Diceros bicornis minor: one gene and its partners. The protein of the gene in region 2 purifies or fractionates together with the protein of the main gene of each other region. This does not show direct contact. Links are inferred from orthologs where the notes say so. Each region holds a gene or a part of one and is shown on either strand. Other genes may lie near its edges.

What was found.
Region 1: the proteins of RBPJ (region 2) and NOTCH2 purify together in Homo sapiens (affinity purification with mass spectrometry; 3 studies listed by BioGRID and IntAct, counting the BioPlex papers as one, with this or other methods). This does not show direct contact. The link is inferred for Diceros bicornis minor from reciprocal best matches to the Homo sapiens genes RBPJ and NOTCH2.
Region 3: the proteins of RBPJ (region 2) and FHL1 purify together in Homo sapiens (affinity purification with western blotting; 4 studies listed by BioGRID and IntAct, with this or other methods). This does not show direct contact. The link is inferred for Diceros bicornis minor from reciprocal best matches to the Homo sapiens genes RBPJ and FHL1.

Annotation. Positions count from the first base shown.
Region 1 is NC_080743.1:51,966,428-51,976,162, reverse strand, and holds the start of NOTCH2 (neurogenic locus notch homolog protein 2), read left to right. Parts: upstream 1-5,317; 5' UTR 5,318-5,545; coding exon 5,546-5,618; intron 5,619-9,735. UniProt on the Homo sapiens protein: Functions as a receptor for membrane-bound ligands Jagged-1 (JAG1), Jagged-2 (JAG2) and Delta-1 (DLL1) to regulate cell-fate determination.
Region 2 is NC_080747.1:21,258,949-21,268,683, reverse strand, and holds the start of RBPJ (recombining binding protein suppressor of hairless), read right to left. Parts: upstream 4,711-9,735; 5' UTR 4,675-4,710; coding exon 4,616-4,674; intron 4,455-4,615; exon of another isoform or gene 4,403-4,454; coding exon of another isoform or gene 4,383-4,402; intron 1-4,382. UniProt on the Homo sapiens protein: Transcriptional regulator that plays a central role in Notch signaling, a signaling pathway involved in cell-cell communication that regulates a broad spectrum of cell-fate determinations.
Region 3 is NC_080781.1:123,826,396-123,836,130, reverse strand, and holds the start of FHL1 (four and a half LIM domains protein 1), read right to left. Parts: upstream 6,213-9,735; 5' UTR 6,127-6,212; intron 1-6,126.

The DNA of each region.
Region 1 (9,735 bases), on a different chromosome or scaffold from region 2:
AAATGAACGTGGCCTTAGAATTAATCACAGTGCTCTCTACCTTTCCATAGCCCTGTGCTTTATCTCGTTTGTAGTTATGTTGTTTGTATGTTGGCCTCTCTCAATGCACTGTGATCTCCAGAGCACAGAGTTGGATCTGATTCATGTTTGTACTGCCACAGAGTCAAGAATGTGCTTTGTGGAGGGTAGGCTCTCAAAAAACGCTTTCAAATAAAAGAATGCATTTTCTTGCTTAGGTTTCCTAACTATCGTGGGTCAGATTGTTCTGTACCAATATGGAAGCGATAAGAAGCTGGTGAACCTCTGCCCAGAGGTCCCCACACTAAATATTGTCTTGGATGCGCTTTACAGTGTTGCAGGAAGGGACAGTGGAATGAGACTGAATAAGAAATCAGAAACAGTGGGGTTTTTGTCTCAGCTCTGTCACAAATGACTTATTTAACATTAGGCAAGACACTTAAACTCTATCTCAGTCTCTCCATCTGTGAAATGGGAATAATAATGACTGGCTTGGCTATTTCCCACGATTGCTTTGAGGATCAAATGAGATAGTATACTTAAAAGTGTTTTGGAAAGCCTGAAGCACTGCACAAATGCAAAGCATTATTTTGAAAGAAATCTTCTCTTTAATCCCTGCTTCCACAAACACTTCATCACACATCCCTGGGTTCCTGAGTTATGTGGTGAGATATGTGGAGTAGCTTGATATGTCAACCTATGCTTGATAGGGACTCCAGAATCTTTTCTTCAGCACTGATAGTATTTAAATGATTCAGCCTTGGAAACACCTCAACTTTCTGTCAATCTTGCATCTCTCTCCAATTCATGTAGATATGTATGCCCTTCATTCAACATTAATTTAAACATATATTATTGAGCACTTATGTGCACTAAGTACTGTGCTAGGAACTGGGGCAATATAGACAAATGACATAGGATTTCCACTCTTGTGGGGTTTTTTCAGCTTATTGGATCTGAGAGAACAGACATGAGAACAAATAAGTGCCTTATTCTCATTTGTTTCAGGAGGCAATTTTTTGTGAGTTTTAATTAGTAAAGACAGATATATATATATATATTTTTACTTTTGTCTAAAACGAAAACTAGTATTGGCCCTTATACCACTAATGTCTGTAAATTTTAATTTGGTCTTGGAGACCGAGATTTGTTTTCCAGATGAAAGTTTGTGGGATCCCATTTTTCTTTGTATCAGTGAAGCTATGGAAATTTAAGGAATAGCAATAGCTATGATTAGTTATAGGATCACTTGAATGTTTTCCTGCCAATTTCTCCTATAAAGTAGGATTTGCTTTGGCTAAAAGCACTGACCTTGGGGAAGACCATTCTCCGATCCAGTTGAGTAATTAATCTGCTGAGTTCATTTGGGGCTGACATCTCCGGGCAGAAACTGGCATTTCATATCCTCAGCTGCCACTCAAGATTTGAGACACCGCCACAAGACCCCTTGGCTTCTGACGGGGATCAGGGAAATAGTCACCTAAATGCACACCGTGGAATTTATTTTTTTATTTTTTTTAAAGATTTTATTTATTTATTTATTTATTTATTTATTTTCCCCCCAAAGCCCCAGTAGATAGTTGTATGTCATGGTTGCACATCCTTCTAGTTGCTGTATGTGGGACGCAGCCTCAGCATGGCCGGAGAAGTGATGCGCTGGTGCGTGCCCGGGATCCGAACCCGGGCCACCAGCAGCGGAGCGCGCACACTTAACCGCTAAGCCACAGGGCCGGCCCTACACAGTGGAATTTAGGCTTAGCTTTGGGGAGAGGCCAATAATAGAAACCATATTTCAGTGCCATTCAGTCAGTCTACTCCTAGATCTCCCTGAAGCAGTCAACAGCTGCTGCTGCTCTTCCTGAACACCATTTTCCCCTTCTAGCTACACTGATCTCTTGCCTGCTTGTCTACTCTACCAAACCTCCCTTTCCTTCTCCTATATTTCCTATATCCAAGAATAGCTCATCATGCCTCAAGATACTGAGGTCATTGCTGATTCCTTGATCTATCATTCTTCTCTCATCTAAGCAGTTACTAGTCTTAGGAGCCAATGCCCATCTTTTCTGCATTCCACAGCCCCTGCCTCAGTTCTTATCTTCTCACTTTAGGGAACAGGCTCTGGTTTCTATTGTTTACCTGCCTCTATACTTGTTCTCTGTGCCTTGAACAGTCTTAGACCTCTAAAACATGAGAAATCTCCTCTTCCTCTTTACCTGACTAATCTTGTGATCTTCCTAGTCTTAGTTCGGCTATTGAGGTCTACCTGGAAGCCTTCCCTGACTACGCCTGCGCTGGGACAGGACTCACAGTCCCTCAGCTGTGAACTCACAACACTCTACTTGTCATACTGATCTTAATTGTTGGTTACTTGTCTCTCTTTCTTTATCCCTCAACTCCTCATACAGAATCTGGCCCATGGTAAATATGTACCAAAATGCCAATTGATGGGTTGGACTTGTTCTCCTCTCTCAGTCTTTGTCGATTCCAGTTCTTCCCTTGATTTTCAACTCCTTTTTGTATTTACCGATTTATATCCATAGCTTCCTTCAAAACATGTCTTTTAAAACATCTCTTTGGTCATAACCTTCTCCTACTTTCACTCATAACATTTATTCTTTATTCCTCTTGTCCTTATGGGAATGTATGCAATAAGTTTAACATTATAACAAAACCAACAAAAAGTTATACATGAACATAATAATTGCTTTCCTTAAAATAGTCACCTTGAGAAACTGCACATCTATTTTAATAATGTTGTCATAGCCACAGTCATTTCTTGAGCTGCTCTTTGAGGATGATTACCTTTACATTCTTCTGAACATATTTTAACAGTGTCAAATCTAATCTTTGCAAATGATTTTTAAAATTTGTGTATAGCTAAGTCACTATAAGCTATATTTAGTGAGTAAAGACAATGATCAAGCTGGTAACTCTATGGGTCAACAACTAAAAAAGTAATGTTATTATCTTTCTCTGAACATATTTGCACAAGGGAAATTCCAAAACTACTTTGACTAATTACGTTATTTTTGAAGAGTTTCTAGCATCCCAAGGTGTCTACTTTCAATAATGGTACTTGCTTAGCTGTTATAAAGTCCTTATTAAAATCCAGTGTTACAGCTTCACAGGCCTATGATCATACTGACTTGCACTTGTTTACTATTGTTTTACATTCTAGTGCAGCATCTATTATGTGATACACACTGGGAATGAATAAGGCCATGGTCCTTAGCCATAATGACCTCCTAATCTAGTTGAGAAGATAGAAATATAAACAGTCCTGTGTGAAAAATAGATATCAGTGTAAGATAAAGAAGCAGTACAGTGGAGAAACTGTCTGTGAGGGGTACGAATTTGCAAAGCCTTCTCAGGACTGAAGGATGAATGATGATTAGAAGCTCCCCAAGAGGAGGAGGGAGGGGGACTACAAGAGTTGTTCTAAGCCAAGGGAACAGAAGGTACAGAGACTGAAACAAGAAGACGTGTTTGGGATAATCTCAAGTCATTCAATACTGTTATTGTGTAAAGTTCACAGTGAGGGCAGAGAGGACAAGACATGGGGCCCAATGAAGTAAAGGCCTTGTATTTACCACTTTTTAGAAGTTTAGACTTTATCCTATAGGAGCCAGGGAGATGCTCTGTGGGTAGGATTTCCCTCCCCAACAGGACTGTAAACTCCCACATCTAATAAGGTTTGCCCCTCCCCCCATCCCTCCTCCCCACCCAGATTGTCTCAGATCCATCTCTTCCTTTCCACTCTGACATTACTTCAGGCCTTCATGACCCATGCCTGGACAATTTCACAAACTCATGGCTGGCCCTTGGACTCTAGCTCATCTTTTGCTCCTGACAATCAATTTTTCACAGGATTATCAGACCAACCTTCCTTTCCATCAAGTCACACTCCTGTTCAAAAACCTTCGATGGTTTTCTGTGACCTGAGAGATAACTGCCCCTCCCCCTTTTCAGTTTGTCCTTCAAAGTCCTGCATAATATGGTCCCAACACCCTTTCCGTCCTTGATTCCTGTCACTGCTCATAGTGCCAGAACTCATCTACTTATTCCCTAATCTGCACCTTTATTTTTACAGTGGCTCTCCCCTGGAATGCTACACCCACACAAACTTTTGTTGTTGTTTTTTATTTCAGCTCTTTTCTTACAAATGGCAAGCCCACCTGTACCCATGTCTGATCACATCTGCCACTGTCCTGCCTTGGAGGTAACCACTATTCTGGCTATATTCCATGACTATAAACTGTATGGTATGCATCCATAAATCATATATAGTATTGTTTTGAAAAAATTTAAGTATACATAAATGATATACTTTATATCTCCTCTGTAATTGGTTTTTCATTATCATTTTATTTTTAAGCTTCATGCCTATTGATATATATGAATATAATCTTTTCAGTTGCTATATTGCATTTCATTTTATAAATACACTGTATATTATTCATCAATTTCTCTATGGGTGGGCATTTAGGTTGTTTCCAATTTTTGGCTATTACAAAAAATGTTACAATGAATATCCTTAGCTGGTCTCCTTGTCCTATACAAATTTTGCTAACCTTTCAAGGTCCTGCTCTCATCCCAGCTCCTCCGTGAAAGCCTTCCCTGATTCCCCAGGCCCGCAGCAACCAAGCGTTGGTTCTCAAAAGTAGCTTGAGCATCATGCGTCTTTAGTATCATTCCATTGGGCCAAGCACAATGTTTCCCAAAGTGAGGCGCTTAAGAAATAGTCGCTAAACGAATGAATGAATGAATGAATCACCATTCATTCAATGAATCACCACAACCCAGTTGATGGCTCTGTTCATTTTAAATGGCTTTGGCGCCTTAGCCCCCATTTCCTTCTTTGACAGCACTGGTCCTTCTCTACTGCATTCCCCTAGCTAGCCCGAGAGTGTGTGGATGTGTGGGTGTGCGGGGGCGAGACCTATCTCACTGGATGAGGTCTGTCCCTCCTTGCAAGTTCACGATCTCGGCAATCCTAGTGTTTGAAGTTCAGAGTCCTAACACCCACCCCCTCCACCAGAGGCCGGCCCAGCGAGGCGCTCCAGCGCCAACTGAGTTAAGGCGCGTCCGGACCCACCGCGGGTTGGAGAAGGCTGGAAGGGGTATCTGAGGACCGTAGTAGATCCCTCCGCGCGTAGCTCGGGCCGGCGCTTCTTCCTGCGGGAAACCCCTGGGTGCCGAAGGCGTCGGGGCCCGGCCGCGGCGACAGGGGGGCGGGGTTTGCGGTGGGAGGAGGCGGCGGAGGCGGAAGGACACACGAGGCTGCTTCGCTGCACACCGAGAAAGTTTCAGCCAAACTTCGGGCGGCGGCTGAGGCGGCGGCCCGGGAGCGGCGGACTTGGGGTACAGGGAGTGGAGGCATTGAAGCCTGATCTTCCGGGCGCAGCGCGAGGCCGTGAGCCGCAGAAGCAAGAGGAGGGGAGGAGAAAGTGGGGGCTTCTCGGTCGGGACCCCCTCCCCATGTGGATCTGCCCAGGCGGCGGCGGCGGCGGAGGAGGCGACCGAGAAGATGCCCGCCCTGCGCCCCGCTCTGCTGTGGGCACTGCTGGCGCTCTGGCTGTGCCGCGCGGCCCCCGCGCGTGGTGAGTACCGGGCGGAGGGGTGCTGTCCCCTGCGCCCAGGCCCGCGCACCCCGCCCGCGCGCCCCGCTGCCCCCGCCCCGGCCCGGCCGGCCACCTGGGGCGACCGTTCCCCCCCCTTCCGTCCTCTTCTCTGCGATCAGGTCGGGCTCAGCGGTCGGCGCGGAGTGAGGCCACTTGGTTCCCTAGAGTTGCACATCGTTGGGGCCCCCTGCCCGGGCGCGCCCCCTCCCCGCGCTCCCCGCTGCCTCCGGCTCCCCTCGCTGGTGGCCCCACACATGCCTCCTCGGCCGGAGGGAGGCCGGGCAGCAAGTCTCAGAAACCCTCTTTCTCGAGCACTTGAGTTCGGGGAGTTGGGCAGTTTTGGCCCTTTGGTTCCGCGTTTCCTGGGGTTGAGGGAGAGCCGGGGGCGGGCTGCCCGAGACGAACCCTCGCCGGCCGCGCACCGCAGATGGGCTGAGCGAAGGAATGCCAGATTCCGGCGTGGAGCGAGCGGGGGCAGGGCCTCCAAGCCCAACGGCTTGCACCTTCACAGCCAGACTTCTCTTCGCCAAAGGGAGGCACACAGTCCGGGGGGGTGGCTTTGGTTTGGATGGGGACAGGGTTTTGCGGTGCCTCTGAATTCTGACACTCCGAATCCGTGGTCCCGATGAATCCGGTCTGTTTGGCTTGAGTCTTGGAAAGGTGGAGGCAGGAGCAGAAGGAAAACTGATGTGGCTGCATGCTGAGCCACATGATTTAAAAATCTCAACTGCTGTTATTCTTTCCGAGGCGCGGAGCTCGGGCGCTGTTTCGGATTCTGCGTCCAGCCCCAGGAATGTGGTGTGACGATCACCAACTCCTCCAACCTGGCAGCAGCATTTGCTGCTCTTTTGGCATGGTTGGGGGTGGGGCACGGGCGGGTGAGGAAAAGTGGATACGTTAATTCAAAGTGCTTCCTTAGAAAGCCTTTTTATGGTTGGATATTTGCAACAGTCTTTCTGAACACGGTTGGACCAAGGAAAGGAAATCGAATCATATTTTACCCATCCCACTCACACTCTTGGATTCCAAATTTCTTCAGGCTGTTTAGTGGGAAGAGCTTGGGCTTTGGAGCCCTGCTCTTTAATCCTGGGTTCCAGTCCAGCTATGCTGTATGAACTCACCAATAAAATGGGAATGAAATTACCCAGCTAATAGGATTAATTAAGAGAATGTATATTAAACCCATGGCAGTCAAAAGGTAGAAGGTCCTTTCAGGGCAGGGCTGTGTTTTATTTTTTCTGAACTCTGCTTCCAGTGGTGGCTTGTGCATGTTTGTTGAACTGAAAGGGGCCCCTTCTTTTCCTGGCCTAATCTGAAGGAAAATTTTTACCTTTATCAAAAAACTAGTACATGAGCTATGTCCCTTTGCAAAGAAAAGGTTAAGAAGATGATGAACTTTAGAAAGATTTGCTCTTTGTTCATTGTTAAGAGGCAGTCGACATGCCAATCACAGATGTTTAAAAGAGAACAAGGTTATTTATCACAGGGCTGGGTTGTTCAGCATCAACCAGATTCTTCTTGGAAGGTTCAAATTCCACACACCTCTAGGTCCCTAAGAATTTCAGAAGTGGACCAGGAGGCTGTGTGATGATGAATCAAAACTGTTGTTTCTAAAGCGTTTTGTTAAAAAACACATCCAATAGTGTTTTTTGCCTTTCCTTTTTCTTTGAGTGGAAGCTTTAGTATAAGTGTAGATTTAGGATAGAGAGAAATATAAACAACCAGCTAGTCTGAGGGTTGCAATGCTTGGTCTACAATCCTTCATTAACTTGTTTTAGTAAATAACTTAATCTTCATGGTCTGTAGTCTCCTCACCTATGAAATAGAGCTAAAGAAGTAACCTGCTTTAGAGAGTTGGAGGGAATAATATGATTGCAAAGTGATTTGCAAAATTAAGCGTTAAATGATAAGACTGATGGCAGAAATAGGATACTGTGACACACCGGGCTTCTCTCATTCTAGGACCTCAGTACGGAGAATGATATCCTCTTTTATACTTCTGCACTGATTAGGTATTGCTATTACTAGCTACCGTTCAGGTGGACAAGTTGAGTGTTAGTCAATTAGCTCAAAGGACAAGATTTAGATATTTTGATTTTTAGACAGGCATTCTTCAAATACTAAACTACTGCACTATAAGAGATTAAAAAATGTTTCTCGGTACAAATCTTAAATTTTTTCCGAGTCTAGCAGTGATGGCTTCTTGAATTTTCTCAATTTATTATCATTGTATTTTGCCAAGGTACAAATTATAACACACCCTTCCAGACTTTTGAGTGTTCCCGTATTTGGCTTGTGGCCAATTGTTAATTTAAACATCACTGAGTTCCTAAGGCAAGGAGCTGTCAACCCATCTGTCTGATTGTCTAAACAGCTATCCAAGACCACCCTTTGCTCCTTGTTTTCTTTTGCTTTGCAATGAGAAGTGACTCCCTGGTTTTGCTGCCTGCTAGATAATTTCTCAGCTGAATTCTTCACTTGCTTTTAAACAAATCACAAAGAGCAATTGTTTTTTCTTTCACATGGAGATTAAATGTACCCTAAAACTATTTTCCTTTTCTCTTTCTTTCTTCTTGTTATTCCTATATTATTATTCCTTTTTCGGGAGGGAGGAGGAAGGTGAGTGATTGTTTCTGGTCTCTCTTTTCTTTTTCCTGATGTTTGATTTAAAAATATTTACCCACATCTCCTTGACATCTCTCTGCACCAGTCCCACTCTACTGCCTCTTCTGTAGACTTCTTATGACATAGGGGAGTAACTTTTGGCTCACCTGAATTGTAGTTGCTGACTTCAGGACCTTTAGAAAATGTTTAAGTTCAGTGGGATATGCTTGGATGCTTCTGAGCAGCCTTATAATACATTTTAAAAATATCACACCCACAGAAATTCTATTTTGCCCACAAAATTTGCATTGATCTAGTTCCCACTCTCTGATGCAATTCCTAGTGGTCCTCCTCCTTACCCTGTCCCCTGTGACAGAGCAAAGCTCCATGTCCTGGCTGCTTCAGAATCAGCTGGGGTGACTCTTGGACTCAACACCCAGGGATTCTGATACAGTAGGTCTGAGAGTCTGCATTTTTCAAGATTTACAGGTTCTGATAGTACCTTGGTTGGAACCCACTGATAGTTCATTATTCTGCCTTCAGGTGTGTATATGGGGTCTTTCTTAATTTTAATAATTTCTGGAATGAACCTAACCTTATTCAGCCATTCCAATGTTTAACCCGCTGACTGGCAAAGATTTTTTAAATTGCTAACATAAAAGCTGTAGAGTGTAATGCCATTTCTTCTTGTTTATCTGGGCACAGTGGGTTCCAATTGTCTCTTTAGAAGGGCTTCATATATTTGAATGATACGATTATAAATTCTCCTTCCCTCTTTTCTCCTCTCTTATCTCTTTTTCCTCAAGCTTCATTTAAATATGTCATTTTGGACCGTTTGTCTGTTAGTCCTTAATGGTTTTGGAGTAAAAAATTCTAAGCCATGATTTGAATGAGAATAAAGTAAGAGATTTTACGTTATCCTTACATTGTGTTTACACTCGTTATTTAAGTGCTTCCTTTCTGGATATCTCTCTCTGATGCAACTTGAACTTTTCATTTTCTTCCCACTGTTTCCTGATTCCCCTCCTTTCTTCTTCCCTTTCTCTGTGTGTGTGAGTGTGTGTGTGAATGCCTTCAGACCAAAAGGTTTTCCTTTCTTCTACTTTTCTCTCTTTATTGGTCTACCATATGTATACTGATTTGGAAAGATCACTGTTTAGGGGCCTGAAGACCAGAATTCTCCTCCAGGTCTGTTATTAATTAGTCTTGTGATCTTGTGGGAGGGCAGTTTTGGTCCTCCATTTGCTCAGGTACCTTTTCCGTAGTCTCTGAGCCAATTACAGAGTTGAGACTAGAGTCTCTCTCTTCGGGTCCTCAGTCCAGTGCCTTGTCCAGTCTCCATACCACTTCTATCTCTTGCACAAATAAGCTCATGTACACACAAACACTCACAATATCCTCAGGTGCTTATTGTTAGTGTGCTTCTTGAGGAAAACAACTGTGTCTTTTAATTTATGTGTTTATTCTAATGCCCCCACTCCTATCCTTGTAC
Region 2 (9,735 bases):
TACGAAGCTATATGCCACGCCAGCTCTTTTTTTTTTTTTTTTTTGATGAGGAAGATTAGCCCTGAGCTAACACTTGTGCCCATCTTCCTCTCTTTTGTATGTGGGACGCTGCCACAGTATGGCTTGATGAGCGGTGCATAGGTCCACGCCTGGGATCCAAACCTGCGAACCCCGGGGAGCCACAGCAGAGCACGAGAACTTAACCGCTACACCACCAGGCCAGCCCCACATTTTTTGAGCACTTGCTATGTGCCTGATATCCTACTAAATGTTTTCTTGCATTTAATCCTCACAACAACCCATTGAGCTAAGAATAATCTTGCAATTGATGGAAGAGGGAAGGAGAGGTTGGATCACTTGTCAATGTTACAGGTTTTAAGTAGCAGAAACAGAACTGGAATCCAATTCAGATTAAATCCTAATTGCGAGCTCATAAACTCTCCACTCCATTGCCTCTCTTAATGAAGGCTGCTAGGGGGAGCCATTGAAAGGTTTTTAAATTAAGGAGTGAAATGATCAGATTTACTCTTTAGAAAGACTGTGGAAGCTGGACAAAGGGGGTGAGTCTAGAACCAGAAAGAGGAAGGAGGAGCTGTCAATGCCTGCAGTAATCCAGGTGAGAAATGATGATAGCAGGAACTGTGGCAGTGAGGATGAGACAGACAGATTCAAGAGATATTCCAGGAGGGAAAATTACCAGTTCTTACTGTTTAAAGGTAAAGGGTTAGTTTGAGAAAGGAATTCAGAAACCTGCAGTGAGAAGCTAGTTGGGACATGATATCATCTGCCAGGAATAGAGAAGCAACAGGTTTCGTTTGTTCAATAAATATCTATCGAGTGTCCCCCAAATGCAAAAGACTTCCCTAGGCCAAGGGTCAAGTCTGAATTTATAGTCCTGGTTTTTAGAAAATATTTCTGAGAGTAACTGGCAAAGTGTTAAATAATATAAGGCATATTTATAACTAGTCATTACTATTAACAGACTTGGCCTAAAATCTAGCGAAAACAGTTTGTGCCACTATTTTTTAAAACAACTACTACATGCAGAAAACAAATCAATAGAGGAAAAGCATCCCATAATTTTACAACGTGTTATTTCATTTGACTTTGACATATCTTCAATCTCTTACACAACACACACATGCACAAGCGTGCACACATTCACACACAAATACCACTCTGTAATTTGTTTACTTATCCCTCTCCCTCTTATAGGTGGGAAATGTATCTGTTTTATTACTCAAACTATAATACATATTTGGGTTTTTTTCATCCCACTATGACTTTCCAAGAACTTAGTTCATAACCTCCTACTTGACTTCCTATAAAATATGACCTACTTCACATCAGCTTATTTCAGTAACAATTCCTAGACTTTAACCACACCTTTCATTCAAGGATGCTCTCTGCAAATCCTAAGGCACACCAATCCTGTGCAGATGTGGCAAGTTATTAACAATTCCCATTTTACTACATAGTTAGGAAATTGGCCCAGGGGAAGTAGAGTAACTTGGAAATAATCACAAAGCCAAATGCCAAAAATAACAACTTTTAGTCAATCCATGAGAAAATACTGCCCCTAGTTGAAATAACATGAAATTTAGTATTAGAAGGAAGCAAAATGCAAAATAATGCTTTAAAGCCAAGTTTCAGGTTTTCAAATTTATTTTTAAAAATGATTAAATACTAGAATTAAGATTTGTAAGAACTTGCAAACACATTTTTTCCCCTAATACCTTATCCAGAGTGCCAAAGATTATTTAATGAATTACAGCTGGCAAGTGTGGCTTCCCCCCCAAACCATTTTTTTTATCTTACACACTTAAAAGACATTAATAGAAATCTGCGGCTATAGGATAATACATAACTTTTTAACAAACTAGCTGCTTAAAACCTAATATCTAGAAGCATATATTAGAATAGATCTGAAAATACTGCAAGTGAGTGTCACATTTTTTCCTGAAAATATACTCTCCATAGACCCATCTGCAATACACATGGACAATAAATTTAAAACTTTAATAGTCAATAATCAGAATGAAAGTTTCCCAACCACCACTCATCTAGTATGTATCTAAATATGTTGCTGTTTGATATAATTTAGTAAAGGCTTTGTTTTATTTGGTCATGAAATAAAGGTCATATACAATTTACAAACAAAAAATACAACTAGAATTGTACAAGTTGCATTTATGGTGTTTGTGCGATCATTCTTATATACACAAGCCAGAGCAAAATATCTTCCCTTATTACACGGTATTTACACTTTGCTTACAGTCAGAATCAACACGATTTTCCCTTCAAAAGAATGATTATGCACTAAGAACAAGGGAGACAAATGATTATTGGCAAAATCCACTCATCAAACCCAAACTGCAAATTTTCACAAAAACTTCATATATCAATCATGAAACATGATTTTTCCATTAATTAAAATTCAAACTACTAATTCTAGTCAGACTTCAAAAAAAAAAAAAATGCTTTCCATCAACGTCCCTCACACTAAATCTTGTATATCCTCTACTAGTAGCATTTTACGTGGAGCTTTATAAATGAAATGACACTCCAAAGGATTTTATGGGTAACCTATATTCTAAAAGTAGTGATCAACTAGTGGAGGAGGGGAGAATTCGTGAACAATATATTCAGTCTAGTAATCCTGGTAAATCAAATACCTCTTATTCCCTGCACCAGAATATTCAGGTCGCTTAAATACACCACACCACTCTCCCCCCACCCCCACACACAACCCCAAGCTTTTAAATTACCATAACAATAAGAACTCTGAACAATTTAAAGTTCCTTTGACATTAGAAGTGCCTTTACCTTACTTAAGGCTATTACTTAAATGTCTTCAATTGCGTCTGCTTAAAGCATTCCACAAAGATTCTAGAAGCAGTATTCATCAACCAGAAACTGCCCTCTTAAGCGCTTTCCTCATTTCAGTTCCAAAGATGAGGCAGAAAGATTGTCATAAATTTACAGAGCAAAAGCATATAATTGTAAACTAATGACTAAGAAAAAGTAAAACATTTATATCAAATTCCCAAGCAGGATGCCGCCCTTTTTCCTTCCGAAGCAGGAGTTGCTGGTAAAATACAGTAACTAAACTCTAGACTTAGAGTCTAGAAAACGTTGAAATTCTCCACCCTAACATTCACAAGTTTTTAACATCAAAATTCACTTAACTGCTACTCACATATCAAATGAATATCCAATATGGATATCTGAAACTATTCTCACACCAACAGAAAAAAATACCTCGCGCCTCTTCTAATCATCCTACAATACCCTCAGGTAACCCAGATGCAAAGCTGCGGCAGCTGCCCTTGGCCTAGGCCGTCAGAAACCAAAGGGGGGGGGGGATTGGGGCACAATAACCAAGAGACCAGATCTTTTTTCAAGGCTACTGTTTCCAAGCAAAACAATCACGGGCCCAAAGCGACCGCGAAGAAAACTGGAGACACTGTAATCCCGAGAGAAAAGGGTGCGGAGAGGAGGAGCGCCGAGGAGGAAACTAAGTATCCCCCTGCATCTCTCAGACCCACAAAAACAACAACAAACCGTAGTGCCTGTCTGCACGTAGAAGAACCAGATGGAGTCCCCGGGGCTGAGACAGTTCAGCCGACATACACCGTGGGTAGTGGATAAATCAACCGATGATGGGAGGGGAAGAGGGGTGCCAAGGGAACAAGCCACTGGATGGGGGAGACAAAGCCTCTGGGGGTGCTCAAGGACCAAACAGAGAGGTGAAAGGAAAACACGTGAGAAAAATAATAAAAGAAAAATGAAGACAGAAATCTGGTGCCTGGGTTGTGGCAGGTCACTGAGCTACCGACTAGAGAGGGGCACAACAAAGGGGCACGGGAGGAAGGACAGCTAAAGGGAGGAGATAGAGAAGGGATGCGGGGCGCGACGGCTCGGACAAAGAGCCCAAGGCGGCGAAACAAAGGGCCGGGGGTAGAGAGTCGCGGGGGGCAGCGGGGAAAAACAAAGCGCCCGGGGACGGGGGCACTGGCTCGCCGAGGAGGCGACGACGGCCGCCAAGAACAAAGCTTCGCGGGGCCGGGAGGCAGGGCCCGCGGGCGGAGAGCGGGAGGCGCGCGGCGGGCACGGCGCCCGCGGGCCCCGCGCGCCCGGCCGCACTCAAGCCCGCACCCGCCGGCCTCGCCGCCGCCCGCCCTCACGCGCCGGAGCCCGAGCCACGGCGGCGCACGGCGAGCAGCGCACAACCACACGCCGCCGCGCTCGGCGCGCGCGCCGCCGCCCCCGCGGCCCCCGGAGGCCAAGCGCGCCGGGGCCCCCGAACCCGCCGCCCGCCGCGGGCTGCGAGACGCCCGCAACTTTCACGGTTCCTAGCGCTCGGATTCCCCCAGACTTACCCTGTCACAACAGGCGCCATCTTCCACAAACTCTCGCCAAAACTCCAACCCTCGCGAGATTCCCCCGGACGCCTTCCCTGGTCCCTCTCCCCCGCCCCTTTCCTTTTTCCTCACTCCTCGATTCCACCCAGCCCCCGCGCTCCTTTTCTCCTCGCAGCTGCCGCGAAAAGCCAGGCGCCTCGCGCCGCACGCGGAGTAGGGGATCCTGCTCGCTGCCTTCCCTGGAAACCTACCCAAGCGATGGAGCATGCGCAGGCGGCTCCTCCGCGGGCGAGCCCTCCGTGTGGTCCATGGGGAGCGCTCCGGTTATCCGGGTTTTGGGACGCGCCCTGAGGGACGTACGTGGAGACTGAGGAAAACCGGAGGGGATTACAACGGGGACGGGGAATGGAGGGGTCAGGAGGCGGGGCCGAGGGGAAGGGAGGAGGGGTCCTGGGAAAATCTGCCGCGTTTCACAGGCCTAGATGAAACACCTCCTCAAATGGGTGTTTTCCAAGTGGCTTCCCGCTCACTCTGGTTCCCAGCCCTTTTCATTCATTCAGACGTTCATTGGACGCTCCCTTTATGCTAATCTCAGCGTTGGGTGCTGGAGCTACAGAGATGTCTGGAGTTCGGGCGAGGGATAAACCAGGAACTATCTAAGTTCACTTGACCCTCATGCTAGCGGAGAGTCAGACAAGATTACAACGTGGTCCGACCCTCCAGAGCTCTGTAAACCAAAAACTTTTGCAGTTGAGCTCTGTCGCCCTTAGCTTTCTTCTCCTTGGGTGTGAAATGAGGTCAGGCCAAGGCCTCTGCCAGACACCTCTAATGTCCACCTCGCATATACACGCCAGAGCGCGCACGTAGTTTTCTCCAGAAGTGAAAACCGCGTTGGAATTGAGAGCCACCACTCCCCGACCCCGCACTCAAGCCAGAGATCCCATTTGGGCAGAGAGCTGCCAGCTTTGGGAGCCTCCCTAGGACCTCATCGCAGCCCGTAGCCCTGTGTGAACCCAGGTGTATATGGGGACAGACTCTGCCCAGGTCCTTCCGTAGGCCTGGCACAGTTGATGATGATGCTCGCTGCCGAAACGTACTTCAGGCGACCTGGGAAAATCTTCATCTTGGAAGCCCCAGAGCAAACTTGGCCCTTTGGGCATTTAATAGAAAGGTGCAGGGCCCGAACCTGGCCCCCTCCTTTCTACCTGCGGCACCCCTTTCTCCTCCCGCCCCCACTTTGCCCTTTCAATTCCTAGAGATTCCCAGATTCTGCACTGCCTCCCGCAGGGAGCCCCAAAACCCGGAGAACTGGAATCCGCTGCCGGAAACCTGCTGAAGGCGCTGCAGGATCAGCGCGGCACGCGTGAGCGGCACTGCGCATGTGCTCAATGCGGGCAGCCCAGTCTCACGCTACCTCTCCTTCCCACCGCCTTCCACTACTCGGTTCAGACACAACACGGGCCGTGGGAAATTTCCTAAACCTCGCGAGAACGCGCACACTGTTGCCTATGCTTTCGCCCGAAATCTCGCGGAGCCCAGGCGGGACAGGTGTTTGTCTAGTGCAGCTCCGGGCGCTGTTCGTGCCGCGCGTGCCCGGGCGGCGGGCGGCGGGCGGCGGGCGGCGGGCGGCGGACGGGGGCGGGGTGGGAAGAGAGCGGCTCGCCGTGGAGGCGGGGCGGGTGGGCGCGGGGCGGGGAGCGCGGGGCGGAGGGTGGCTGGGAGGGGGCCCGATGTCTCGCACACACACGCCCGGTGACGCTTGGTGGAAGAAAAATGGGTGGGGGAGCTTCTAAAGGAAGAAGGGGAAGCCAGGAGATTAGAAACTCCTCCTGGCGCGGATGGTAAGAGGTCACACTCTAGGGCAGGAGGAGCCCCAGGCCGATCCCCCGGGGAGGTTTCTTGTCGCCCTCCACGAGCCTGGTACTTTCCTAAAATGTGTTAGACGCCGCGCCCCCGGCCTCCGGGAGCTGACGGCCCCCGGTGTCGGGTTTGAGTCATTCCTCTGAGTCACCTAGTCTGGCTACCGCTTTACTTGCTTTAAAACAAGTTCAGATTCCCTTAGCTACTCTCTTTTAGCAATTGTTTTCTTTCTGATTTACCCGCTGGCCTCGCGAGTTCGAGAAGAAAAATGCTGCTCTTTGCGCTCTCTCATTGTTGCCTTGTAGAGATTCTGCCTCCCATTCAAGGACACAATTTTTTTTTATTTCTTCCCTCTAATCTCTTCCTAGCCTTTTTTTTTTTTTTTTTTTTGGTGAGGAAGATCAGCCCTGAACTAACATCCATGCTAATCCTCCTCTTTTTGCTGAGGAAGACCGGCAATGAGCTAACATCTATTGCCAATCCTCCTCCTTCCCCCCCCCCCCAAACTCCCGGTAGATAGTTGTATGTTATAGTGGCACATTCTAGTTGCTGTATGTGGGACTTGGCCTCAGCCTGGTCGGAGAAGCAGTTGTGGGTGCGCGCCCCCGATCCGGGCCGTGGGCCACCAGTAGAGGAGCGCACGCACTTAACCACTATGCCATTGGGCCGGCCATTCTTAGCCTTTTGAAGTAATCCCTATATATCACTGTCTGTTCTTGGTTGTTTTTTTCTTTCCTGCTAATGATAAGACTTAAAATACTGGTTTTGCTTTTCACCTTTCTATGTGTTTGTTGAAGTATTCATTCCATTTTAGGTATCGTTTCATCTGAAGCTTTAGTGCTAGCTGTTTTAAGTGCATCCTTTCTTCTTGAATTATTTATTTGTCTAGTGAATTCCTGGTTACATTCTTCAACCAGGCACATTTCAGATTCCCCTAGTGTGGTTTCTGGACCAGCCTGGCCTGGCATTGTCTAGAAACCGGTGTCTGGTGCCATCACAGACCCACAAATGTAGAATTGAATTGAATTTTAATATTTGAGTCCTTTAATAGGGGCCCATGTGCTACTGGTTATATAGTGAACAAGAAATCAAGTTTTTTAGTTGTTTTCAAGGTTGTTGGTTGTGTGTGTGCATCTGTCTATCCCTTTGATTAAATATTTCACACAGAAAAAGAAAAGATGTAAGAACATTTGATACAATATCTCAGTGCAAGTCTGATTTGGAACAAGATAGCTCAGGAGGGGAACAATGGCCATGGGCACACATTCCTTGGAGTCTTCAAACCCAGGAAGGCATTTCAGTCATGGTCTTGTCTAGGCCATTAATCTAATTTGGAGCCATGGCCATCTGAGAGCCCGAGCCATGGAAAGCCATGGTAACCACAAGTCAGATCACAACTCATCTTCACCCTAAAACATGCTCTGCCTGCAGTCTTTCCTATCCCAGTAAAAGACACCTCCGTCCTTTCACTTATTTAAGCCGAGAACCTTGGAGTCATTCTTGCCTCCTTTCCCTCTCACCTCCAACATCCAAACTAGAAAAATCATGCTGGCTCCACCTTCAAAATAGACCCATAGTCCAAACACTGCCACACCTCTATGGCTACGAGCCCAGTCTAACTCATCTCATTTTTCATCTGGTTTACAGCCAGTTTCCTAACTGGTTCTCGCTTCTTCTGTTCTTGCCTTCCCGCAGTCTGTTCTCAATAGAGCATTCACAGAACCCACCAGAACTCTTCTGTGGTTTTCCCATTTCACTGTGAGGACCTACACAATCTAGCCTGCTACCCAAACCCCCTGAACTCCCTGACCTCACCTCTTCCCCCCTTCCCCTTGTTCACTGAGCTCTAACCACAGCCTTCCTTGCTGTTGCTAGGACATACCAGGCACGCTCACAATGCCTGCCTTTGCTCTGTCCCTCAGATGCCTCATGGCTCTTTCCTTCACTGCTTTCAGGTCTTTGCTTAAACGTCACCTTCTTAGTGAGGCCTTCCCTGACCACCCTTCACAAAAGTGACTCCTCATACTCCCTATTCCCTCCTTTATTTTTCCCACGACGCTTATCATAAACTAACATACCATATATCATACCTGTGTATTGTGTCTACTCTCTGGCTCCTCCCATTATAATGTAATCTTAATGAGGGCAGGCACTTTTGTCTATTTTATTCATTGTTCAAGCCACAGCCATGAGAGCAATGCCTGGTGCATGATAGGCATTCCATAAGTATTTGTAGGATGAATAGGATGTCTTCCACTTTAGAGCAGAGTAGAAATGATTCTGAAGGCTCACTAAGTCTTCTAGGGTTCAAAACAATATTGAATAGCCCAGTGCCAGCTTGCCTAGGGAGGAGAAAAGAGCCTATAGAACGACCATGTGTGTTGACTTTCTGCAAAACATCTATTCCTGAGTTAGACCGGTAGATGAGCCTACATTTACTTGAAAGGTTTCCTTTACTTTCCATTTTAGAACCTAAGGAAAGAAAACACTATTGGCAGGATATAAGGAAACAAGTATTCTCATGTGTTGCTAGTGGGAGTGACAATGGGTGCAATCTTTATGAAAACCATTTTGATAAAACTTATCATTACCTGTTAATCCTATAATTTCATTTCTAGAAATCTTCTACAAATATAGTCAGACACATGTGAAATTACCTTTATATTGCAGTATCATTGATGGTGGAGAATACTGGTAACAAGCTAAATGTCGATCAAGAGATGTCTTATTAAAAAAAAATCATGATAGGGGCCGGCCCCATAGCTTAGCCGTTAAGTACTCTGTGTGCTCTGCTACTGGCAGCCCGGGTTTGGATCCCAGGCACACACTGACGCTCTGCTTCTCCAGCCATGCTGTGGCGGCGTCCCATATACAGCAACTAGAAGGATGGTGTAACTATGACATACAACTATCTACTGGGGCTTTGGGGAGAAAAAGGAGGAGGATTGGCAATAGATGTTAGCTCAGAGCCGGTCTTCCTCAGCAAAAAGAGGAGGATTGGCATGATGTTAGCTCCGGGCTGATCTTCCTCACAAAAAAAAAAAAAATCATGATATATTCATAGAATTGCATAATATGTGTCTGTTAATAAACAGGCTGCTTTTTATGTACTTATGTGGAAGGATCACAAAGTTTAAAAAACAAGGTAAAAAATAGTGATAAATATATACTTATTTGCCTATATGTATCTAAAATGGCTCTAGAAGGATACACTAGAAACTGTAGCAGTGACTGCTTCACTGTAAGGGACTCCACGGTTGGAGGACTTAGGTGAGGAGGTGGCTCATCTCACAGTCTCCTGTCTTAGAGCCTTTGAATTTTGTACTAAATGTATGTATTGCCTATTCAAAGTATAAAATATAAAAAAGGGAAAAAGAAAGAAAAGGAATAAATGTGCAAGAAGAAAAAAGTTGACCAAATAAAATTGTTTCCTTTTCCCACTTGCTAGAAAATTATTATTTTTTAATTATTTTATTGAGGTCTTATTGGTTTATAACATTGTATAATTTCA
Region 3 (9,735 bases), on a different chromosome or scaffold from region 2:
CGTGTCTATACCCAGTGGCTGATTACCCAAGTGGCTGATTGCTGTAGCCATAATCAGGACACTATTATTATAATCAGAATCAACGGCTCAGAGTTCTATGTGGAAATCAAAGCACGCATTTTACCTAAATAATATTTCTTTTTTTTTCCCCAGCATCCCGGCCCTTGAGAATCATGGTTAAAATTCCTTTCCAATTTAAAGTAAATGAAATGAAACATGACGTCCTTCCTCTACCCACCCCCCAAAAAAAGCTTGCCAGACAAAATATGATTGCTATTGGGCTTTTAATTTTTCCTCTTTTTATGCTCTAAAACACAACACATCAAAAGTTAAAATAAATCTTTAGCTGTCAAAACAAAACACACCCCCCACATGGAAAACACAAGTATGAATTTGATGACGTTTATTATAAAAACAACTGCCATGCCAAACACAAATGTTTAAATTGTGTAAAAAGACGACAAAATCAAACGCTGTCATTACTAAGTTCTATAGGACAGTCCTAACAAAAGGGAGAAGGGAAGCTGCTGAAAGGATATACACACAGGTAACTTCCAGTTTCACAGTTATCAAAACAGTGTTTGAAAAATTCAACTAAGATAAAAAATGAAGTTCTCCAAAGTGACAATCAATCACAGTCTCAATTTGGGGAGATCTCTAGAACAAATTCCAGGTTGAACTCAATTCTCACCAGTTGAGGAAGGTAGAATAACTCACCTCTCCATTCATTCTCTCCCTGATAAAATCCATCGTCTACTACACATCACCTCTGAAATTACTTTTTATCCAGGACCAATTACTCACCTCTCTGCAGCATGCTCCTCAGCTCACTCCCCTTCCGCAATCCCCAAGCTTTAGAGCAAGCAGCAAGGGACAGTGGCTTAGTCGTGGGACTAAGTTCAAACCTCAGCTCTGTTGCTTATTAATTGTGCAATCTCACACAAGCTACTTAACTAACCTCATCTGTGAAAAGCACACCATACTTACTTTGCAGAGTTGTTGTGAGAATCTAATTACATAATGGATGTCAATTCAACTAGTGTATTTTCTAGAACTATAGTAGGCCTTCAAGTAATGTCGGTTCCCTTTTTCCCCCTACTCCTGGCCGCTTACTCCAAGTATGATCAAATTTAACGTTCATCGTTTTAATTACTCTCAAGCAAGCTCAATGGTATATAGGACATGTAGCAATTTTAATTTTGTTAAGCAAGATTTTGAATGCAGCATGCCACAAGGGACAGTATGACGTTGTGCTCAAAACCACAGACTTCTGAGGAGTAAGACGATCTTAATTTTGATGTCTACTTTCAACCCTGACCAGTTGTGAGAACTAGGGCAAGTTACTTTACCTCTCTGAGCCTGGTTCTTCATTTACACAAGGAAGAGAATTTACAATGTATACAAATGCCTGGCACAGAGTAAATACCATAAATGGCAGTTGTTATTGGTCATTTAATTATTCAGGTCCATATATGGGAACTGGTCACTTTTAAGGCAAGTGAAGGGAGTCCAGCCAACTTAGTCACATCAAGACACTGTTATTGTTCTCTACTCTCCTGAAGTTACATTTTACTGCATTTTGTAGAGGAAATTACATCAGCCTCAGCACCACTGACACTTCGGGTCAGATCATTCTTTGTTGTGGGGGGGCTACCCCGTGCATTGTGGAATGTTTCATTAAGCAGCATTCCTGGCCCCTACCCAGTAGACACCAGTAGTGTGCCTTGCCCCAAGTTGTGACAGCCAAAAATGTCTCCGGACATTGTTCAATGTCCTCTGGGGGGCAAAGTTGCCCCAGTTAAAAACCAGTGGTCTAGCACTCTCCACAAACAGGGGAATTCTCAAAGATCTCAGGAGGTAGCCCTCACGGGGGCAAAGGTTTATTCCAGCTACTCTTTAGTATTATCTCCTCTTCTGGGCTCCACCGCCCATTATTATCCATAATTCAAAGTTGAACATAGAAAAGTAATTTTTTTGGCCCAATTTGCTGTCAGAAGATGCTTTAAGTCATAGGAAGGAATGCTGGCCTGGTCGTCTTCCTCTCATGACTCTATGCCATAATACAAAATGCTGAACTCAAATATCAAGAAATCTGCTGTCCTATTTACTCTACATAAAACTTATCTTTTTAAAAAAGGCCATAGACTTTTTTTTTTTTTGTGAGGAAGATCAGCCCTAAGCTAACATCCATGCTAATCCTCCTCTTTTTGCTGAGGAAGACCAGCTCTGAGCTAACATCTATTGCCAGTCCTCCTCTTTTTTTTCCCCAAAACCCCAGTAGATAGTTGTATGTCATAGCTGCACATCCTTCTAGTTGCTGTATGTGGGATGTGGCCTCAGCATGGCGGGAGAAGCGGTGCGTTGGTGTGCGCCTGGGATCCGAACCCGGGCCTCCAGTAGCGGAGCGCGCACACTTAACTGCTAAGCCACGGGGCCGGCCTGGCCATAGACTTTAAAATGACTTATAAACCATGTTATTACCCCAAATGAAGAAGTTTGTCTTAGTTGGGAAGGTGAGAGAGAATTTACGCAGTGAATAATTCCCTGGAAAGAAATGACTCCACTGTTTGCGGGGGTGAAGCATGTGTGATGTATATAAAGTGATACGTTAATGGCCACAAGACTCTGGACAACTCTTGATTATTCACAACAAATCCACTGTCTATTTTTCATTTTAATAACTGCACCAGAAGGCAGGAGCCATTTCTCACCCACTGTATATCCTGCACCTAACACGGAGCCTCCAACAGAGGCGGTCACTCAGTAAATGTTTGTTGAATAAATGAATGGTCATACACTCTGCTTAATTAAGTACTCTGGTGACAAAAAAAAAAAAGAACCTTTCTTTGCTCTCATCCAACAGCAGCTAAAAGAAAAGATCTTTTAAGAGAAAATAATTACAGTCCACTCTCTTTTACCCCAAATGCAAACAACTGGAAAGTTCAATTAACCAAAAAAATTTTGTAGGCAAAAGTTGAGGAAAGCAGCCAAATAGATAAGGCCTCAAGTTCAAGCGAGCACGAACATTTGTTCAACTCCCACAAGGTTATAAAAGCCAAAGATGCTGGCACCAGAAGGGGAAAAGGGAGAGGTGTGGGGAAGGGAACCCGGAGGTGGAGCACCAGCACAGGAGGCAGGCTCAGAAGGTTAGCTTCCATTCCTTCAACAAACTGGCATTATTTTAAAACGTCAAAACTTTCAGGGCGAGGGTCAATTTCCTACACAAAGGCTTGACTTACAAATGACTTTTCTAATGGATAGCAGCAAAATCTTTAAGAATATTTCAAAAGATATTTGATCATACTTTTGTTAATTTCTGAAATTTCTTCATCTTTTTTCCTCCAGTCCCACAGAGCAAACAACAGGTTCTCAAAAGCCTGGGTGAAAGATACTCCATTTACTCCTTTCATCTGGAGAAGCTTAAGGGCCCCCACCCATCAACACACTTCTTTCTGTAAAAGATTTTACCACTCTCAGCATTCTACTCATAAGAGAAAAACAGACAAATTGTATTTTTATATGTACTATTTTAATTTTTATTTATTTATTTATTTTTTGTGAGGAAGATCAGCCCTGAGCTAACATCCATGCCAACCTTCCTTTTTTTTTTTTGCTGAGGAAGACTGGCCCTGGGCTAACATCTGTGCCCATCTTCCTCCACTTTATACGGGATGTCGCCACAGCATGGCCTGACAAGCAGTGCATCGCTGCACGCCCGGGATCCAAACCCGGGCCGCCAGCAGCTGAGCGCATGCACTTAACCACTATGCCACGGGCCCCTGTATGTACTATTTCTAGATTGCTGCCTGTGTACAGAACAAGTATCACATTAACATTAGAAATGATGCATACAACAGTGTTTATTTAAATGCATTTTTGTCAATCTTTGAGACCAAAAAGCTCTATTTCCAGTTTAGCATTTCCAGTAAACAAATAATTATTCAAACGGTCCATTGAGTTTGATACATATTAAATTAGTTCCAATTAGCTGGTATCATACAAGAGGAATTTTACCAATTTAAATCTTACACAAATTTGCTTAAGTTTCACTCAAAAATCTAGACTTGGTTGAAAAAAACACGTTCCTTCTCCAAAAACTCAATATGGAAATGGTAGCTTAGAATTTCAAAAACCATATATGGTTACAGAATCTATATGGTAGGCTTAGACTATATACTTATTGTGACGTGGTTTGCACAAATCATGGCCCATCTGACCAATTTCCTGTTGCATAAAGATTCTATTTGCTCTTAAAAATGTTAAATAAGCATTTTTAAAGACTGAAGATAAAGACTAGATTAGAACCTTATGTAACCAAAATGGGAAGGCACTTATAGCCTCACCACATTAAAGACCTATGCCTTTTTAACATGTGTTCTTCTTAAGCAAATATGAGCATGAGTTTCCAAAGGCAGAGCTACCATCCCAGAAGCCCTTGCTTCTTCAGTGTAAAGAACCTGGAGAGTTCTGTTCCTGGAGAAGGTGAGCTGGGGAGGGAAACCCTTTGGAAAATTCCAAGCGGCCCATAATTTAAATTTAGGCTTTTCTGCAAATGTTCACGTTTCCAAGGAACAACATAAAATTTACATTAAAACTGTCTTAATCAAGATAACAAAAATATTATTCCTGCTGCTCTATAAACTTGCCATAGATTTGATAACCCAGGGAAGAATTACAGGCAATTACAAAATGATGGCTCCAATTAGGAAAACTGGATCTATTCCAAATTCAAATCAAAGGGGGCTCAGATAATCCCGATGGAATAATTTAAACGAATATAGGGGACTTCCAGCAAAGACACACATTTATTCTATTTCTACCTCTTCTGGAAGCCAAGCAAAATGCTACTACGACGTATCTCTTGCCCTTCAGGAAATTCAAAAACCAAACCTGGAGTCCCCTTAATAAACATTGTTCTCTTCTTTTCCCAAGGGGTCTCCCCGGTACAGGGTTTTTTTGTAAAGGGCAATCAAAACAAACCTGAGAAACTCGCACAGTCCCAAATGCAGAAAATATTACAGCACTGAACACGAGCCACACACAGTCCTCCCTTGCCGATTTTCAAACCTCTACCCAGTCCTGGACGACTGGGAAGAGGCCGCGAGGAACGGAAGAGAAAGAGAAACTTCGAAAGCAGAAACCTCTCTCCCAAGCCTAGAACAGACGGCACCTTGTAGGGATTTCGTGATTTTTGAGACGGAAAGGTCACACCCTGCAGTTTTGAAAATCCACCTTCTAAGGCTCAACCCACGTGATAGAACCTTCCTCTTGCTTCTCTAGGTTCCACGCTGGAGCTGAAATCCCCCACTCTCCCCACCCCCATTCGCCAACCCCTCACCATCCTCTGCGAGAGACGAACCACAGCAGGCCCTCCCCCTCCCTCCTCATTCTCTCTGCACCCCACCCCCACTCCTCCAACCACCGCCCTCCCCCAGCATCCCCGTCGAGTAAACCAGGACGAGCCCCTTCACCTCCGCTCCCTCTCATCCCCAAGCCCCGCCATCCTCGTTGAGCGAACCAAGGAAGGTCCCTCCCTCACTCCCTCCTCAGTCCCCGCCATCCTTGATGAGAAACCAAGGGGAGCCCCCCATTTCATCTTCACTCACTCCCCACAACCCCCGCTAGCTCTCCTTGTTGAGAAAACCAAGGGGTGCCCCCGCCTCGCCCCACCCCCACTGCCCGCCATCCTTGGTGAGAAAACCAAGGGCCCCCCCTTCACTCCCACCCCACTCCCCACCATTCCGCAGAGGAAAACATGGAGAGCCCCATTTTCACTCCCGACCCCCCACCCCTCCCCTCTCCCTCTCCCTCCCCGGTCGCTCCCCATCCCCATCGCCCGCCACCCCAGTGGCGAGAGCCCAGGGGAGGCCGAGGCACGCACCATAGGGGACCCCACGGTCGGCCGTCCCGCAGCCCGCAGCCGGGCGCGCCCCCAAGCCCCCACCCCCGGCCAGGCGGCCGAGGCCCGAGGCCGCAGGTACCCAGCCCCGCAGGCCGGGCAGCTGGGGCGGCGGGGGCCAGCCGGGAGCGGCGGCGGCGGGACAGGAGGGCAGCCGCTCCCCCGGGACGCGGGCCCGGCGGGCGGGAGCACACACGCACGCACACGCGGAGAGAAAGCGGGCTTACTGCCTGGGGATGCTCGCCCGCACAGCTGTCTCGGCGACGGCCGCTGCCTGCACCGAAGCCGAGGCGCGGCGGCGGCGGCGACTGCGGACTGAGCCCCCTCGGCCGGGCGCTGGATGTAGGGCGCGGGAGGGGCGCGAGGGGAGGGGCGCGCGCGGGGGAGGCGGGCAGGGGGAGGGAGCGCGCGGGGGCGGGCGCGGCTGGCCCGGGGCGGGGCGGGGCGCGCGCCAGCCGGGGCTCTGCCCGCGGGGGCTGCGCTGCGGGCCGCGCGCGCGGGAGCCGGCCTGGCGCGGGGCGGGAGCGCCACGCACCCCGCGCGGCCACGTGCCCCCGCTACGGGAGCGGCCCGGCTGCCTGCAAGGCGCGGGCGCGCGGGGAAGCTGGCTGCGAGCGGGCGGTGGCGAGCGCTTCCCCGGAGGGCCGGCTCCCGCCTGGAGGCCGAGAGGAGGGCGGGCTGTGGGCGCCCGCTGCCCCCCTCCCTCGCGTCGCAGCCTTCGAGGCCGGCGGGGCGTCACGAGTCACTGTAGGCAGCCGCGGCCAGGGCAGGCGAGGTGGGAGCAACAAAGAGAGTCGAGCGAAGGTGGCCTGTCCGGGGGCCTCAGCCAACCTGCGCACTCCCTGCAAAGCGGCCCGGGCCCGAAGCGCACCCGGTTTTGGCCCCCGACTGCGGAGCCCCGTGGTTTGAAGCGGCGCCGAAGGACCCACTGGCGACCCTTCCCCTTAGTAACAAACTGGAGGGAGCGAAAGGAGTCCCATCCATAAGCCCAACGCCGCTATCCAGAGGGCTTTACGTCACATCACTCAGAAAAGCACCGATGGCAAAGCCGCACGTGGCTACTCATTCATTCACTCAACATTCAGTTTACTGAGCCCTCGCTATGTGCCAAGCACTGTGCCAGGCGCTGGGGATACAGCGCAGAGTCCTGCAGAACACTATCCGCCCTGCCCTAGGAGCTTGCAATCTAGTGGGGGAGACAGACGATAAAGAAGTGAGAAAAGAATCACATTCGGGATAAGACCTGTGCAGGAAAAGAAAAGGGTGCAAATTGTGTGGTTAGGAAAAGAGGAGGTGGCATTTAAGCTGAGCCCTGAAAGTTATGAAAGAAGCAACCATAAAGAAGAGCCAGAAAAAAGCCTTCCGGAAGGAGGGAGCAGATAGATAGATGTACGAAAGCCAGAAGGAGGGGGCAAGTCTTGATGCCTTGGAACTAAGAGGTGGTGATTGTGATTGGCACCAGGAGAGCTGGGGAGAGTAGCATAATGTAAGCCTGGACAGGTTGGCAGGGACCGGATCATGGACTGCCTCCCAGTCAATGGGCAGACCGTTTTATTCCAAAATCAATGGGAGGCCATTGAATGAGTGGCTTTACCCCAGGGCATGACTTGATCTGATTTATATTTCTTTTGTATTTCTTTTTTTGGGGGGATAATTGTAGATCCACATGCATTTGTAAGGAATAATACAGAGAGAGCCTATGAACCCCTTACCCAGTTTCCCCCAAAGCAAAACTAGTACAAGATCACAACCAGAATATTGACAGTGGTGAAATCTACCAATCTTATTCAGATTTCCTTGGTTTTACTTGTACTCATATGTGTGTGTGTGTATGTTTAATTCTATACAATTTTATCACCCGTGTAGGCTCGTGTATCCACCACCACAGTCAAGATACAAAATAGTTCCGTCATTACAAGGATCCATCCTGTTGCTCTTTTGAAACCACAGCCACCTCTTCAGTCTCCCTAGTCCCTCACCACTGGCCACCATTAATCTGTCCTCCATTTCTATAGTTTTGTCATTTCAAGAATGTTGTGTAAATGAATCATACAATATATAACCTTTGGGGATTGGCTTTTTTCACTCAGCTTAATTCCCTTGAGATTCATCGAAGTTGTTGCATGTATCCATAGTTTGTTCATTTTTATTGCCAAGTAGTATTCCAGGTCTGATTTATATATATACATATATATTTTTTTTGTTTGTGAGGGAGACCAGCCCTGTGCTAACATCCGATGCTGATCCTCCTCTTTTTTGCCGAGGAAGACTGGCTCTTAGTTAACCTCTGTGGCCATCTTCTTCTACTTTATATGGGACACCGCCACAGCATGGCTTGACAAGCGGTGCGTGGTGCGCCCGGGATCCCAACCTGCGACCTCCAGGCCGCCAAAGCGGAGCGCGCGCACTTAACTGGTTGCGCCACCGGGCCAGCCCCCTGATTTATATTTTTAAGAGACCACCTCCACTACCATGTGGAGAAAGGTCCAGAGGAAACTGAGAATGGAAACAGGGAGACTAGTTAGGAGGCTTTCCCAATAGTCCCCATCAAAGCTGATGGTGGTGTACACTTGGATGGTGCCTGTGGAGGGAAGGGGAAAGATTTGATGGAACAGGTTTGAAGAGGGAATTAGAGTTGAAGTAGAGACAGCATAGTGTAGACAATCGCTTTGAGACATTTCCCTGTAAAGGGGAATAGGAGTGGAGTGGAACGAGGACAAGAGACAAGAGGCGATTCCTTTCTCTTTTTAATTTGAGAGATGAGAGCATGGTTAGGAATAATCAGTAGGGAGGGGTTGCTGATAAGAGAGAAGGGCTTACTAAAGAAGTCAAGCCCCTGCCTAGGTGAGATGAAGTGAGAGCGGGATTCCACGTGGAGGATCGGCCCTCCACCTGGAAAGGCTTTCTCCACTGTAAAGACCAGGAGGTATATGCTGATCAGGGGGCGGGGTACGGGTGTGTGCGTGGGGCGGGGTGGTTAGCCATCTCTATAGATCAAGCAAATCCAATCTGATGACTCCTGTTTTCCCCTGTGGTGCACGAACTGGGCACTGGCCTCCCTTAGGAGAGAGCATAAACCCTTTCAAGGTTCCCTTCTTTCTCTCGGGCACCAGGGGCCTAGGCCTTCCCCTATCCCATTCCAAGCCCTCAGAAGCACTGAAGTTTGTTTGGTCTTCTGGGATGGCAAGAGCTTCACACTTGCTAGGAAAAGAAGGCAATCTGTCCCACCCTGATCTTGAGAAGGCTCTGAACAATCAGCTCTGCTGCAGGCAACTCCCCAAATAGAATACCAGCCCAGGGCCCAGTCCCCAAATAGCCAAGAAGCACCCAAGATGGAGGGCTCCGGATGAAGGGCCCTCTCCCAGGGAACTTTCTTGCCATCCTTTGGCACTCAGTCAGTGTTAGTTGTGGTTCATTCCTCACAAGATCCCTTTCTTCCTCCCACCTTCCTTCTCTATCTTTCCTTCCCTGTCCTTTCAGCCCCTACCTTCTTTCTCACCTCCCCCACTTCTTTCCTCTCTTCTTCCCTTCTGCAGATATTCACAATGTGCTCCTGCTAGGTGCAAGGCGCAGATCTCCCACATTGCCCACCCCACCCCCCGGCCCCCCGTAGTTTACACCCAAGGCCAGTCCTATCCACCTCTTAACAGTTCATCTCCTTGGATTTGAACTCAACTTCTGTGGGTCATGGAAACATATTGTTCCACTTAAACTGTGGGGGGGACTGTGTTGCAGAATAAGCAAAATGGATAAAAGGAAAGAGGCTGTCCAAATTGTGAACTTGTATGCTACATTCTGGTAATGTTTTCAGCATCTAGAAGCAAAAAGACACTAAA